3 linked regions of the Arabidopsis thaliana genome follow. The protein of the gene in region 2 interacts with the protein of the main gene of each other region in a pairwise test. Each region holds a gene or a part of one and is shown on either strand. Other genes may lie near its edges.

The links. The genes of interacting proteins can lie anywhere in the genome.
Region 1: the proteins of AT4G24310 (region 2) and AT1G15150 interact in a protein complementation assay, tested with the Arabidopsis thaliana proteins (one large-scale study listed by BioGRID).
Region 3: the proteins of AT4G24310 (region 2) and ABCG19 interact in a protein complementation assay, tested with the Arabidopsis thaliana proteins (one large-scale study listed by BioGRID).

What each region holds. Positions count from the first base shown.
Region 1 is NC_003070.9:5,210,900-5,215,601, reverse strand, and holds AT1G15150 (MATE efflux family protein), read right to left. Parts: upstream 3,128-4,702; 5' UTR 2,929-3,127; coding exon 2,671-2,928; exon of another isoform or gene 2,556-2,670; coding exon 2,011-2,555; intron 1,928-2,010; coding exon 1,841-1,927; intron 1,762-1,840; coding exon 1,705-1,761; intron 1,614-1,704; coding exon 1,375-1,613; intron 1,246-1,374; coding exon 1,040-1,245; intron 951-1,039; coding exon 879-950; 3' UTR 560-878; downstream 1-559. Other genes in the region: AT1G15160 (MATE efflux family protein), read right to left, coding at 1-127; AT1G15140 (FAD/NAD(P)-binding oxidoreductase), read left to right, coding at 3,465-4,012, 4,531-4,630.
Region 2 is NC_003075.7:12,599,255-12,602,260, reverse strand, and holds AT4G24310 (transmembrane protein, putative (DUF679)), read right to left. Parts: upstream 1,459-3,006; 5' UTR 1,362-1,458; coding exon 720-1,361; 3' UTR 535-719; downstream 1-534. Other genes in the region: AT4G24300 (Peptidase C50, separase), read left to right, coding at 2,048-2,154, 2,235-2,415, 2,503-2,610. UniProt on the Arabidopsis thaliana protein: Involved in membrane remodeling.
Region 3 is NC_003074.8:20,433,280-20,438,327, forward strand, and holds ABCG19 (white-brown complex homolog 19), read right to left. Parts: upstream 3,175-5,048; 5' UTR 3,010-3,174; coding exon 832-3,009; 3' UTR 560-831; downstream 1-559. UniProt on the Arabidopsis thaliana protein: Confers selective resistance to kanamycin.

The sequences.
Region 1 (4,702 bases), on a different chromosome or scaffold from region 2:
CCATAGGAGCCGCAAAGCATATAAGCTTCTTGAGTTCTGCGGTGAAAGATCCGTCTTGCAGATCTCTCCATGTTACTTTCTCAACTCTGTCTACAGGATCTTTGGTGGTGCTCTCTGCGTCTTCCATGGCTAGAGAGACACTAAAGAGAGAGAGTTGAAATTTGAAACTGAAAGTGGTGTGAGTGAAGAACTACTGTCTGCTTTTTGTGCTTTAGTACGTGTTGTTCTTTAAGACTATGTACATTGCCACATTGGTGTTTTTATACAAAACCATATTTTTCATTTTTGTAACACATAATCGTCACTTTATTCCACCTATTAATTCAACATTTTAATATGCTCTCTGCGTTTTATTTTTGTGGCGTGATTACTGATGCTGACTCTTGGCTCTCTGCGTTTTCTTTTTTTAATATGCATTTTGCAAACTATATTGTCATCATCGTAAGAAAGTTTGAATACATAAAGCAACGTTGTTGGTGGTTATATTTTTCTAGTGATAGTAATATATGTGTGATCCTGTCATTATTACTTGTGGAGACACTTGTGAAGGTCTGTGTCGAGAAACATTTTCAGTGATTGAAAACTCTAGCTCCAAGACTCAGAAGCAGCTCCCACATCTATTTCCTGACTCGCAACTACTGTGTTACAGGTATAAGCGAGCTGGTATCAGCAGAATTGGATCACTACATCATTTTCTGTCCAAGGTATTTCTGAACTACCAGAATAATGCTTCATCGAAATAACGATTGCTGAGGGCTGCTAATATTACAAAAGAAAAGACCAATTATTCACGGCAACCACTAGTCCAGCAGTAACATATAACGATTTGGCTGCTACAAAAATGGTAAAATAGGAGGAACATCTGTGTCCCTGTAATCTTAGATGGGAAGTTCTGACTCTGTAAGTTCTGATTCATGGGCCACAGCCATTCGCTCCCTCGCTTCACGGGCCTAGAGTTCAAAATGCATCCAATTGAACATCGATATGTTTATTCCAAAATAGAAACATGTCATGAAAGACAAAAAGCAAAGGAAAGGACCTGGGTTTTCCAGTTTGTGCAGCCTGTGACAAGAGCCAGCAGAAGAGTCTGCAGAACTGCACCGGCTAGTATTCCAATCCAAAGGCCAACACCTTTCAGATGAACCCAGAAGGCTAAAGATGCTGCAATGGGTATCCCCCAGAGATAGAAAGCTCCGAAGTTTATGTAAGCCCCTATATGCTGCCACCCGCATCCGCTTGCAACACCTTCCAACCATCAAACGAGGGTTAGAAGAATGGCAGAAAAGAGTACAACATGAACAGGCATGACAACTTGGAGCTGTATATTCGACACTAGCTTATGTTTGAGAAACGAAATGGGAAAAAATCTCGAACCTGAGAGAACCCCTTGTAAACTGTCCAGTATGATAGAAATAGAGACCAACGGAGCCATCTTTGCAACATATTCGATGGTTTTCTTGTCACTGCTGAAAACATGGCCGAAAACATGCCTGCCGGCTAATAGAGACATACTCACCATCAATGCATCCATTACTGCAAGAGACATTGCCGCATAGACCACAATATGTGCTGCTCGAGAGTTTCCAGCTCCTAACTCATTTGAGATTCTTGTGCTGCACAATGTACTTGCTTATGAACATGAAACCATAACAGAAAGTATACTTCAGCATTTATGTACTGGATAGTGGTGACAAAAGCTCTAACCTTGCTGCAGCCGCGATCGCTAGTGGTATTGAATAAGTTATTGAAAGTGTTTCGAAACTGTCCGTAGTATGAATAACATTATGATTTTGCAAATTCAAGATTGTGACAGGAAATGGAAAGATGCAAGGATGAGTACCAGATAGAGAGCACAGAAGTCTCCAGCTGTGGGTTGGGTAACAGACCAGAAAGTAATATTATGAGTTCATATGACCACCACTCCAGGCTGCAACCCATATATAAAAGAGTTTCTAACAAAAAATGTGGAGGCAATGAGAAGTGAAAAAGGAACAGAGAAAAGTGATGTACCAAAGCATAGCCGCAGAAGGAAGAGCATATTTGATAAACTCTCTAACGCCCTCGAATATCTCCATGGTAAGCGGCGCGCGTGTCTCAGAACAGGCAGAGGAGTAGTACATGAAAGATCCAAGGAAAATGGCATAGAGCCAGTATGACAAGCTGAGAGCCAAGGCTCCTCCAATATGACCAAGCCCTGACTTATAAACCAAAAGCCAGCAGAGAGGAACGTGGATACAAAACACAACAGAAGAGGTGACGAGGAGAGGTGTGATCAAGCTCTGGTTTTTGAAGTAGCGAATGAGCGGCTGAAGAACGGCGTAAGCGAACAGTCCTGGGATGAGCCAAGCGGCATATCTACCAGCTTCGTGAGCAATAGCAGGGTCTTGGCCAAGGATCACAATAAGCTTTCCCATGTTGAACCATAGGAGAGAGAGAGGGAGACACACTAAAGTAAGACAGAACATAGCTGTGTAAGCCTGAACACCTAGTTTCCGATATAGCTTAGCTCCATAAGCTTGACCACTCAAAGTATCTAAGGCACATGACAATCCTATCTATCATCAAAAAGTAACAAGAAAGTGAGGAGAGGATGCAATTTCCATGGTTCTGGTAGCTAGTAACAGAGATAAGTGCGTCAATTTAGAGGAAAGAAGGAAAAGGAAAACAAACAATGAAGCTGAAGCCAGTGACGTTACAGAAGGAGACTGCGAAGGAAGCGCTAGCGAGGGAGAGTCTACCGAGGTGACCCACCATCACCATTGAGATTATCTGTATCATGAACTGAATGATAACCACGGCAGCCATAGGAGCCGCAAAGCAGATAAGCCTCTTGAGTTCTGCGGTGAAAGATCCGTCTTGCAGATCTCTCCATGTCACTTTCTCAATTCTGTCTACCGGATCATTGGTGGTTCTCTCCGCGTCTTGCATGGCTTGTGAGAGAGAGTTTGAAAGTTGAAACGGAAAGTGGTGAGTGATAATCGTGAAGTACTACTGTCTGCTTTTTGGTGCTTGGTTATGTGTAATTCCTTACCAAGGGAATCTATAGTGTAGTGCCACTTGGCAAAATTCCAAAACCATGAATGAAATATATACGTTAAATTTGGCTCAACGGTAGGGAGTGTTCATTGATAATGTACTCTTACGTTTTTTAATATGCATATTGCTTGTCACTTTTCTTCCACAATTCTGTCTTTTAATTACATGATTTGGTGTTTTTTCTTTGAAAGACGAGCTAGCAAAATTAAATGAAGAGGGAATGCAATTTTCGAAGTATCACAACAAGTGGTCGGAAAGTAGATAGAATGATATTTTGATCATCCACGTGGCAAAACATTGTAACGGAAGGAAATTAGGTGCATAGCAAAAAAAAATAACACAATCGTGCCACCGAACCAATCGGGCCGCCCTTTTCTACCGCCGGCTAAATTTGACGGTCACATATAGAGCCCCAAAAACTCTCCACCATGTCCACTCTTCCTTTCGCGCCTTCTGTCACCCATGCGCACTTTAGCCACTCCCTCTCCCCCATGTTTATCCTGCGCCATCTCCCTCTTACACGCCATCTCCGTTTATCCCGAAATAACCGCGTCGCTTCCGTTGTATCCGCCGCCGCCGTTCGCCAGGACGCTTCCCTCTGGACTCCAGCTCCTCTCTCTCTAATCGAATCAGCTGCAGAATCGCTTTTCCACATCTCAATCGACATTTCAAACGCTCCGGATCTCGTAGCTTCGTACACGAGACCCGGTCAGTATCTCCAGATCCGTGTTCCTGATGTTGAGAAGCCTTCTTTTATGGCAATCGCTTCTCCTCCTTCCTTGGCGTCTTCTCGTGGTGCTTTCGAATTCTTGGTCAAGAGCATCGCTGGTTCTACCGCGGAGATTCTCTGCGGGTTGAAGAAAGGAGAGACCGTTGAGCTTAGCTCTGTGATGGGTAATGGTTTCAATATCGATCTGATTGATCCTCCTGAGGAATATCCCACCGTTTTGATTTTCGCCACTGGATCTGGAATTAGGTGAGAGCTTTTTCCATTTTCTCTCCTACCTTGTTGGATTGCTGAAGTTGTCTTTTTTACTTCATGTATTCAATGATCCAAGTGTGGTCTAGTTTAAAGGTTTCAGTGCAGAGCATTAGCTAGATACAAAGCTTTCAAACTCAAGTATCTTGAATCTAGTTTAGTTACTCATTTTGCGGTGAATCCTCTGTGATGCCGGGTTCAATTGCTTTTTTGTGGACCTTTTTTGTGAACTCCAGTATGATTTCAATCTATCCAAAGGTGCCATGGACCAATTTTGTGGCTATTTTTTTACTGTGATGATGTTGTAATACTGAAATAGAGTTTCATGTATGAAAGGTCAATGTTTTTATGACTTTGGTGATCGATCAGATCTGTTGTTTATGCCAAGTAAAGGTGTTTCTTTCAATCATCTATTGTTCTAGGCCTGGTCAATCAAAAATGTTTAGTGATGGTGATGTGAATTAAGTAACTGTCTTCAATTTGGAATGTAATCTCACATGTTCTTATCTCTGCAGCCCCATCCGCTCACTAATCGAATCAGGATTTGGCGCTGATAGAAGATCTGACGTAAGACTCTATTACGGGGCTAGGAACCTGAATAGGATGGCTTACCAGGTTTGGTTCTTTCTCTCAGTTGTTTTGCAATTCATGATGTCAGTAGATATAAATGTGTGTGCTTGAATTATA
Region 2 (3,006 bases):
CTATGACTAGGGCGAGTAAGGACAGCTTAATCGAGTATGGAATTGGTTGCTGATATGGTATCATTGTGCAAGATTTTGTGTTTGAGTCCTTGACCGACTCTGCCAGCAATTGGAGTAAACAGAACTCAAGATCTCGCATATTACCTAGCTAGCAACGGTGTTTAGCTAGTGGCTACAGAGTCTCTGCATTTTGCAAGTAAGTAAAACGGATGCAGAGAAAGGAATTTATAAACCTCCACAGGTTTTCTTATTTCCTTTGGGAAGACGCATGTATGTCTCAAATAAACATGGCAAGAGATGAAAGTCAGAGTAAACAACATGACAAGTGTGAGTCTTACAAGAACTGTGTTGTCCACATGCTCTTTTGAAAGGTCCCAACCTGGATGGTCCTCTCAGTTCAGCCACTTCCTGATCAAACAATTAACCAAGTTTTTTTTTTTATAGCTTTCAGTTTATTGATATCGTGTGTTAACTCAATTAGACAAGGCATCTTAAGCATTTCACACCTCTAAGTGTATTATTAGTTTATGACCAAGCAGAACGTATAATAAGATTGCTTGCGTAAATAATTGTCCACTAAACAAAGAACAAAATTAAAATCATTATTAGAATTGGAAGTAGATGAGACAAACACGAAATGATCACATGCACAAGCGAATTAGTCAACCAAACATTAAATAATCAAATTGCTTATATCTATTTGGAAATAAATAACAAATCTAACGACGACCCCCGTCTCCGGTGACCGGATATCCAATACCGTGCCTTCTCGCCGGAAAAACCAAGAACAACATGCCACAGATAACCCCAACACCCATTGGAACAATGTCCAAAACCTTCTTGGTTTCTTGCTCTGGCGCCGGATAAAAACAACTCACGGCGTTCTTGTCCCTCAGAGCCACCGCACCAAACACAAGAACCGACAAAACGGCGTGGATCCAGTCAATAATTCTTATCCGGTATTTACTAAGATTGGGTAAACCCAAACCGTCAGGGTCAGGGTAGTCGAAAACCCACATGCCCTTACGAGTAGCAAAACCGTAATAAACGTTACCGTCTTCAGCCTTGACGCTGTCAGTGAAGGAGCTAAGGAAGCAGGAGATGGAGAGAAGCGTGAGGAGCACTATGGTTAAAACCTGGGTCGGGTAATCGCATGAACCATTGGATGTAAAGACGGGTATGAGGAGCGTGAAAGCTAAGAGCGTTCCGGTTGGAAGGAGATTTGCCAGGTTTGCAGCTGAGGTTAGCGTCTGTGACATGACTGCATGTTGAGATGTCTGCCTCCTTAGCTGTGGAACAGACTCCGATTGCTCTTGCGAACTAGTTGGGTTTCTCTGCGTTAGGGAAGATGGTGAAGACATATTCTTTCGTTTTTCTTATTTGTTTCGAGAATTAATGGATGATTATGATCATAATATATACCAAGAAGAACGTGCGATTAAGTGTAGAAGATGGTTGTTGACGTGATCAATGTTTTGACTTTTGAGAAGTCAATGGGTCTCTTTTGATTCCTTCTTGAGAGTTGAGACTTTCAAAGTTGATTATATATTACTCTCGTTCTTACTCGTCTCCAACTTTAAACAAAAAACTTTAAAATCGATTTGCATGTTACGTTAACTTTAAAGAGATTCGCACTCTTTGGTGGGAACTAAAAAAGTAAACCTAATTCCACTAAAAAAGGTCTCCCGTTGGATCCATCTCGCAGCAATTCATCCCCTTCATCATCAAATCCGTGTGTTTCCTGCATAAACGCCTCACCCAAGGATCCCCTAGGGATTTGTTCCGCGCGTATGATTTCTGTTTGGAATGCTGCGAATTGGTCTCCTACGATCCTCTAGCCGTCCAGCTTCAGAGAGTCGGGCTGATTCACTGTTACCAGGCCTGGGGTTGGTTCACTCACGCCTACAACGATGGTTTTAGAGTCCTTGACCACCTTAAAGGACCCGCCTACGACGATGGTTTTAGAGTTAGAGAACCCGAGTCCAAAGGTGTACCGTTTTTACCAGATCCCGAATTTGGAGGAGCTAAACTGGCAAGAGTCCAACTCATGGTTGTGGCGTCCATCGTCAGGTCTGTAGCAATGTCGCGGGATATGAACGATCTCCAATACTTGAGGGGCATTTCTCTTCTACAAGGGCTAAAACCCTGGCTAAGGTAAATAAAACCGTGAGACTTATGCTTCCCTTGCTGTACAAGTCAACAAGTTTCACTTCTTCTTCTTCTTTTTTTTCTAGGTATTTGGATGCCAATGAACACCATAAGTTTCTCAAGCTGGTCTTGTCAGATATGGGAGAGTGTGCTCTCTCGGTAATTAGAGAAGCAGAGCGTTTCGATGAGGCTTTTGTGCATTCTTTTTGCATCTCTACACTAGAGGAATATTCTGTATCCCCGTTGCCAAAATGTCATTTTTATAAGGTGACTTTCCCAAGTTTACATGTCCTTCTGTGGCTCTGTCTCTGTCTCTCTCTCTCGTACGCCTTGACTGTCTTGTTTTGTATCCAGTTCTCCCGCCAGGTACTTTCTTTACTGTTTCCGTCCAAGGAGGCAAAAACATCACTAAATCTTAAAATTATGATGTCTGTGTTGAAATTTGTGGCAGGTGAATTCCAGGTATGTGCAAAAGTCTCGTGTCCAGATTAGTCAGTCATTAGATGTTTCTAGGGCATTATTATGTTTCTTGTGGCACTCACTGCTCTGCTATGTTGAAACTCTCATAGCTTATTCTCTCTCAGGTTGAACCTAAAGCAAATTGGTCGAAGCTTCTTGACTTAGTCCAAAGTTTTTTTAGGTGAATGTCATGCGCATCGTTCTCTTTAGATAAAACATGAGCTCCAGAAAATTAAACTTGGTATTATTATTCATGGAGTATTAACACATTTTGAATGTAGATGCTATCATCTTAACAAAAAAAACTCAATTTACTTCATCTTGAATGTTATCCCAAGAGTTTTTTTTATTGCTTTTAGGTTCACTTACTGTTATACATTCATGCTTACCCAATATACC
Region 3 (5,048 bases), on a different chromosome or scaffold from region 2:
GTATTCAATTGGTTCGAATTTAATTGTGTTCTGACATGCATGTTTTAAATTTTGAGTCATTGAATAGTGAGTAATGTCTATCACACCAGAAAATATTATATCTCAAATTTAGGTGAATACATTAATTCACTAGATTTTCACTTGTCCATTTTTTTTCTTTGAGTAAAATATACTATATATGAAGTATGAAGTATGAAGTAAGGGAGTCCGGACCATAAAACTTATATCTCCAACGTGGGATGCGCAATATTCATTTCATATCTACTAAACTTCGTGGTTGAACTTTTGTTGATATTTTATTTTGCTGACCATTGTGGAAAAGAACTATCACCAATACTTGAATATTGATATAACTATATGGTTGAAAAATTCGCAAAACATTCAACAGCAGCCCCTAGATTTTAATTTTTTGAACTGCACCCAAAGGGACAAGACAGCAAACAAAGGAGAGCAACACTACGAAACAGAACTATCACCAATAGGCAATAAGTAAGGAAAACGAAACAGAAAAACAGAGGCCAAGTCAAGACAAAGGAACGAGCAGATAGCGAAACCTTGAAGGAGGGTAATGGTCTTGCTTTACTTAAGCAATTGTTCTGCCTCGAAATTTAAATGTGTATTCAAGTAATCAGATGCTAATTTGGATATTTAAGAAGAAATACTTGTTTATTTTACAGTATATTCTTTTAAAGAAACAAAGATGAAATGAGTATAAATTTTACAACTTCTTCACAAATGTATAGTAACATCGAGAAGCTAATTCTTCAAGCTTCACTTAAATATGTAGCTAATGCGCACAAATGTATTTGTGGGCGCTAGTAAGTAGTAACCTCACGTCCTCTTATTCCTGCTCCCAAACAGCAAGGCGAAGTAAAATAAGATCCTAAAGAAGAGACCTGAAGCAAACGTAATCCACAAGCAATCCCACTTGCTCAATTGCGTAATACCCTGTTGTGCAAGTAAGTCAGACCCCGTCCTCAAGCATGTGGACTCCGTTATCTTCGTTCTCAGAGATTTACTGAGAGTTTCAAGGAGCTTAACCTTCCCGGAGTCAGACACTCCCCCGAGAAGAGTACTGTCGAAAACCTGGACACCCCTAACAAAACAACGAGACGGGTCATCAAACTCGTTGATTAAGACAGCCTCATACGGATACTTGAGAATTGAAATGTAATGAAACCACGTCCAATAAAACGGTATTCGATCTCGGTTGACGTAGAATCCACTCAACAGTAAACAGTAGGCGAGATAGGTAATGGAGACCATGTAACATAACATGATATTCGGAACAACACCGGATATAAAGGTAACGACGGAAGATCCAGACCAAAAGGAGGCATAGATTAGGAGGCAATAGAAGACAAAACCCTCTAATCCCCCGCTCAATCCAACGGTCCAGAATGTGATCGCGGAAAATACCAAGGAAGGTGCAAGTAGCTGAGGCAGGGACACAAGAGAGTGTGATATGACGTATGAAGATGTTCTGTACGCGTTGTGTGTTGTCTCTCTTAAGAAAATGTATCGTTCTTGGATAAAAACGGGGACATTGTCTAAACAACAATAGAACATTGTTGGGACGACAAATGCGAACAAAGTCAATCTCTCTTGTGCTCCTCTTGGAGTGTGGTCTAGCTTCCAATACACAGTTGCTAAAAGACAACCAGTCACCATTACCGTAGCAATCCTTGTTCCTACTAGCTCAGGCATCCGGATCCAGTTTTTCATGTACCGTTTGGCTAAGATGAATGTTTCGAACAACGACGGGTTTGCGTATGAAGATACTGTTTCCATGGAAGTGGGATTGGATCTAGATGAGCCTGAGACTAGTTTGCCTCTAGAAACACTCGCATTAATGGCTTCTTTTAAAGATAATGAACGGTCTTGGTCGAGCTTATTGGTTTGTGGAGCAGATTGGATCAGGCTGATCTTGTTTTGTTGCCACTTTTCGTTGAAGTCTACTAAAGCTTTCGTACCTTCATTGGATCCTTCAAGCTCTCGAACTAAATCAAGTGCGAACTCTGATATGTTCTCTTTCTCCGGGATCGGACGACCGAAGTCGGAGAAGAATCCGGGAAGACTCGCCGGAGATCCATTGAACACACTTTTGCCACGAGATAGAATGATAAGCCGATCAAGCAACTCCACGATTCGAGCACTAGGTTGATGGATCGACATAATTACGATACTGCCACTTTGAGCAATTCGTTTCAAAACTTGCACCACCATAAACGCGTTTGTAGAATCCAGCCCCGACGTTGGTTCGTCGAGGAACAAGACGATAGGATCGTGTATAATATCGATTCCGATTGAAACGCGCCGTCTCTCTCCTCCAGAAACTCCACGGTGTCCTTCGTCTCCGATTACCGTGTTCGCCGCGTTTCTTAACCCTAATTGATCAATTAGGGCTTCAACACGCTCCATCTTCTTCGACTTAGACAAACTTCTCGGGAGACGAAACTCGGAAGCGAACATTAGGGTTTCTTTAACGGTGAGCATCGGAAAAAGAAGATCGTCTTGCATAACATACGCCGATATAACTTTCAACAATCGAGATTGCAAAACTTTCTCTCCGTTTAGAGTTACAGAGCCTCTCAAGCTTCCCTCAGCAACTCTCCCCGCTAGTGCATCGATCAACGTTGATTTTCCTGCTCCACTTGCACCGAGAACGGCGAGGATATCGCCGTCAGAAGCCTCTCCGGAAACATCATCGAGTAGAGTCTTTACTCCGTTTTGCCGTGAGAAGCCAAACCGCCGGCGAAGTGTGACATCGTATTGAAGATTGTTAAAGTTTAAGACGTACGGGACAGGTTTTACGTACAAGGCTTCGACATCTATTATGTGATGTGCAGGATCGTCGCTTTTTACGCCGTCGCCGGAATCTCCTTTTCGGAAACTGTCGCAGTCTTTCAGCAACTCGTCGAGGGTTGGTGATCCGATGGGAGTGATATACTGAGTTTCCGCCGAAACACGTGTCATGGCAATCTTTCTACCGCTGAGTGATAGATTCATCGGACGGCGTCGTTTAGAGTTTTGGCTTAAGAAATCATCAAACTGATTGTGAAGTATATATGGTGGAATCTGAAAGTTCTTAGTAGTGATATTTTTTATGATGGGACGTATAGTTTCATACGTTGGTTATTTATAAGAAAAATGTAACATGTGTTGTAACTTCTGTAACTAAAAAAAAATATTAGATAGAAATTTAACGTTCGTGTGGGTCGTGGCTAGTAATAAGAGTGAACAATAATTCAGAAGTTTCGTTTTCGACATTAAATGTATGTAAAAAGCAAAATACTGTGAATTACGTGGTCATTAAATTCTTGATAAGTCTTAAAAGAAAATTCAAAATTGTATACAGTACTTTGATTTTGGCTTCTGCTCTGCACCACGAGTCGCATTTAAATTTGACATATGTGTCTCATCAACCAAATTTGAAGAATGTGTTCTTGTACATACAGCAGAGAACGTTTGTTCATAGTAACCATAACACATTCTTTGGTTTTAATATCATCCAAAACAGTTTTCTACTCCTAATCACCAAATCAAATATTAACACCGACACGCAAAATGATACAAAATATGTATCTCCCTTTATTAATATATGTCGAATCAATTGATGAAATAATCCAAAAAAGGAACCATGCTGAACCTAGTGAGGAATGCGTTGACAAATATGCATGTATACAGTAGATGTGGATGTCAAAACTACTAAGAGAACGACTCTCTCTTCAATGTGGCTCCACAAAACGGTTGGTAATTTGGGATGGCCGTAGTTTCCATTAATTGGTTAAACTCCAATTTCCCAATTTTGTTGGATTCATGATTAATCTATCTTCGTAGAATATTGGATAAATTGTGATATCAGAGATTCAGTATATAACTAATAATAGGTTAGAAATTAATTCACAAAAAACAACTTTTTCAAGTCAACTATAGTTTATAAACAAAACAAATAAAGAGAGTTAACTAAAATTTGTGTGAAGCATGAAGGAGCCCACGAAATTATCTCAAAGTGTGTGGCTCGTAGGATTTGACAACCACCATCATCATCGCCATCCCTTACTGATTACGGTACATGATTTCATTTAATGTTAATTTCTTAATTTTCTTTTATTTCATGAAGTTTCATTTTCGACATAAATGTATATTTAGGAAATAAAAAATCGTGATTTTCGTGATTGTTTTTTTTTTGAATCCGTGATAAAGGCAATTTGGCTTCGTCAACTCGATGGCCATTTCATTATTATCCATTATCAAAGCTAAGATAGTTACCAAATTTTGTTTAAAGCCTTGTTTCGATGTATATATAAAACATGTTCTCTCTCGTTAGTAACCAATCAGTTTCAAAGCATAACATGTAAAATTAATACTTTTCTTTTCTTTGTCGGCCACAAACACATTCCTTTGTTTTGGAATTATGGTTCGAGTATACACAATCGCTAATTCAACAGTTCTACTCCTAAGAAACAATTCAAGTTTTAACATCAATACACAAAGCCAAAGGGAAATTCCATTTTTTATATACATGTTGGATGAATGATTGACGAAAATATCGAATCGAGTCAAACGATCGACAATGAAATGATAAACATGTAGGAAAGGAACCGATTGAGATATGAAATTCGAGAGATTACTAAAAATAGGAGGAGGAAGCCGGTCCTAACATTTATGTGGCCTAAAGCATATTTTAAAAAATTATATATAAAAAAAACATTATGAAAAACAACTAAAAATCATCTATTGTTACTCGAACATGGGGGAGATTGAAGATTTACTAATGGAGTTTAGTACAATTTCAAAGGAGACGTTAATGGCTAAGTTTTGTTTGAAATTGACTATTGGATGACGACTATTGGATGATGTAACCCATACACCAAATTTGTACTAGTTACTTCAAAGCTGCTGTGACATCTACCAAATTGTGTTTAACGCGATGTTTCTATATCAAACATGTCACTCGTAAGTCCCAAGTACTCTAATAAGTAGTCTAAGTTTAAAACCTTATCGCCTATAACAAGACATGTAAATTAGTACTATCATTTATTTTT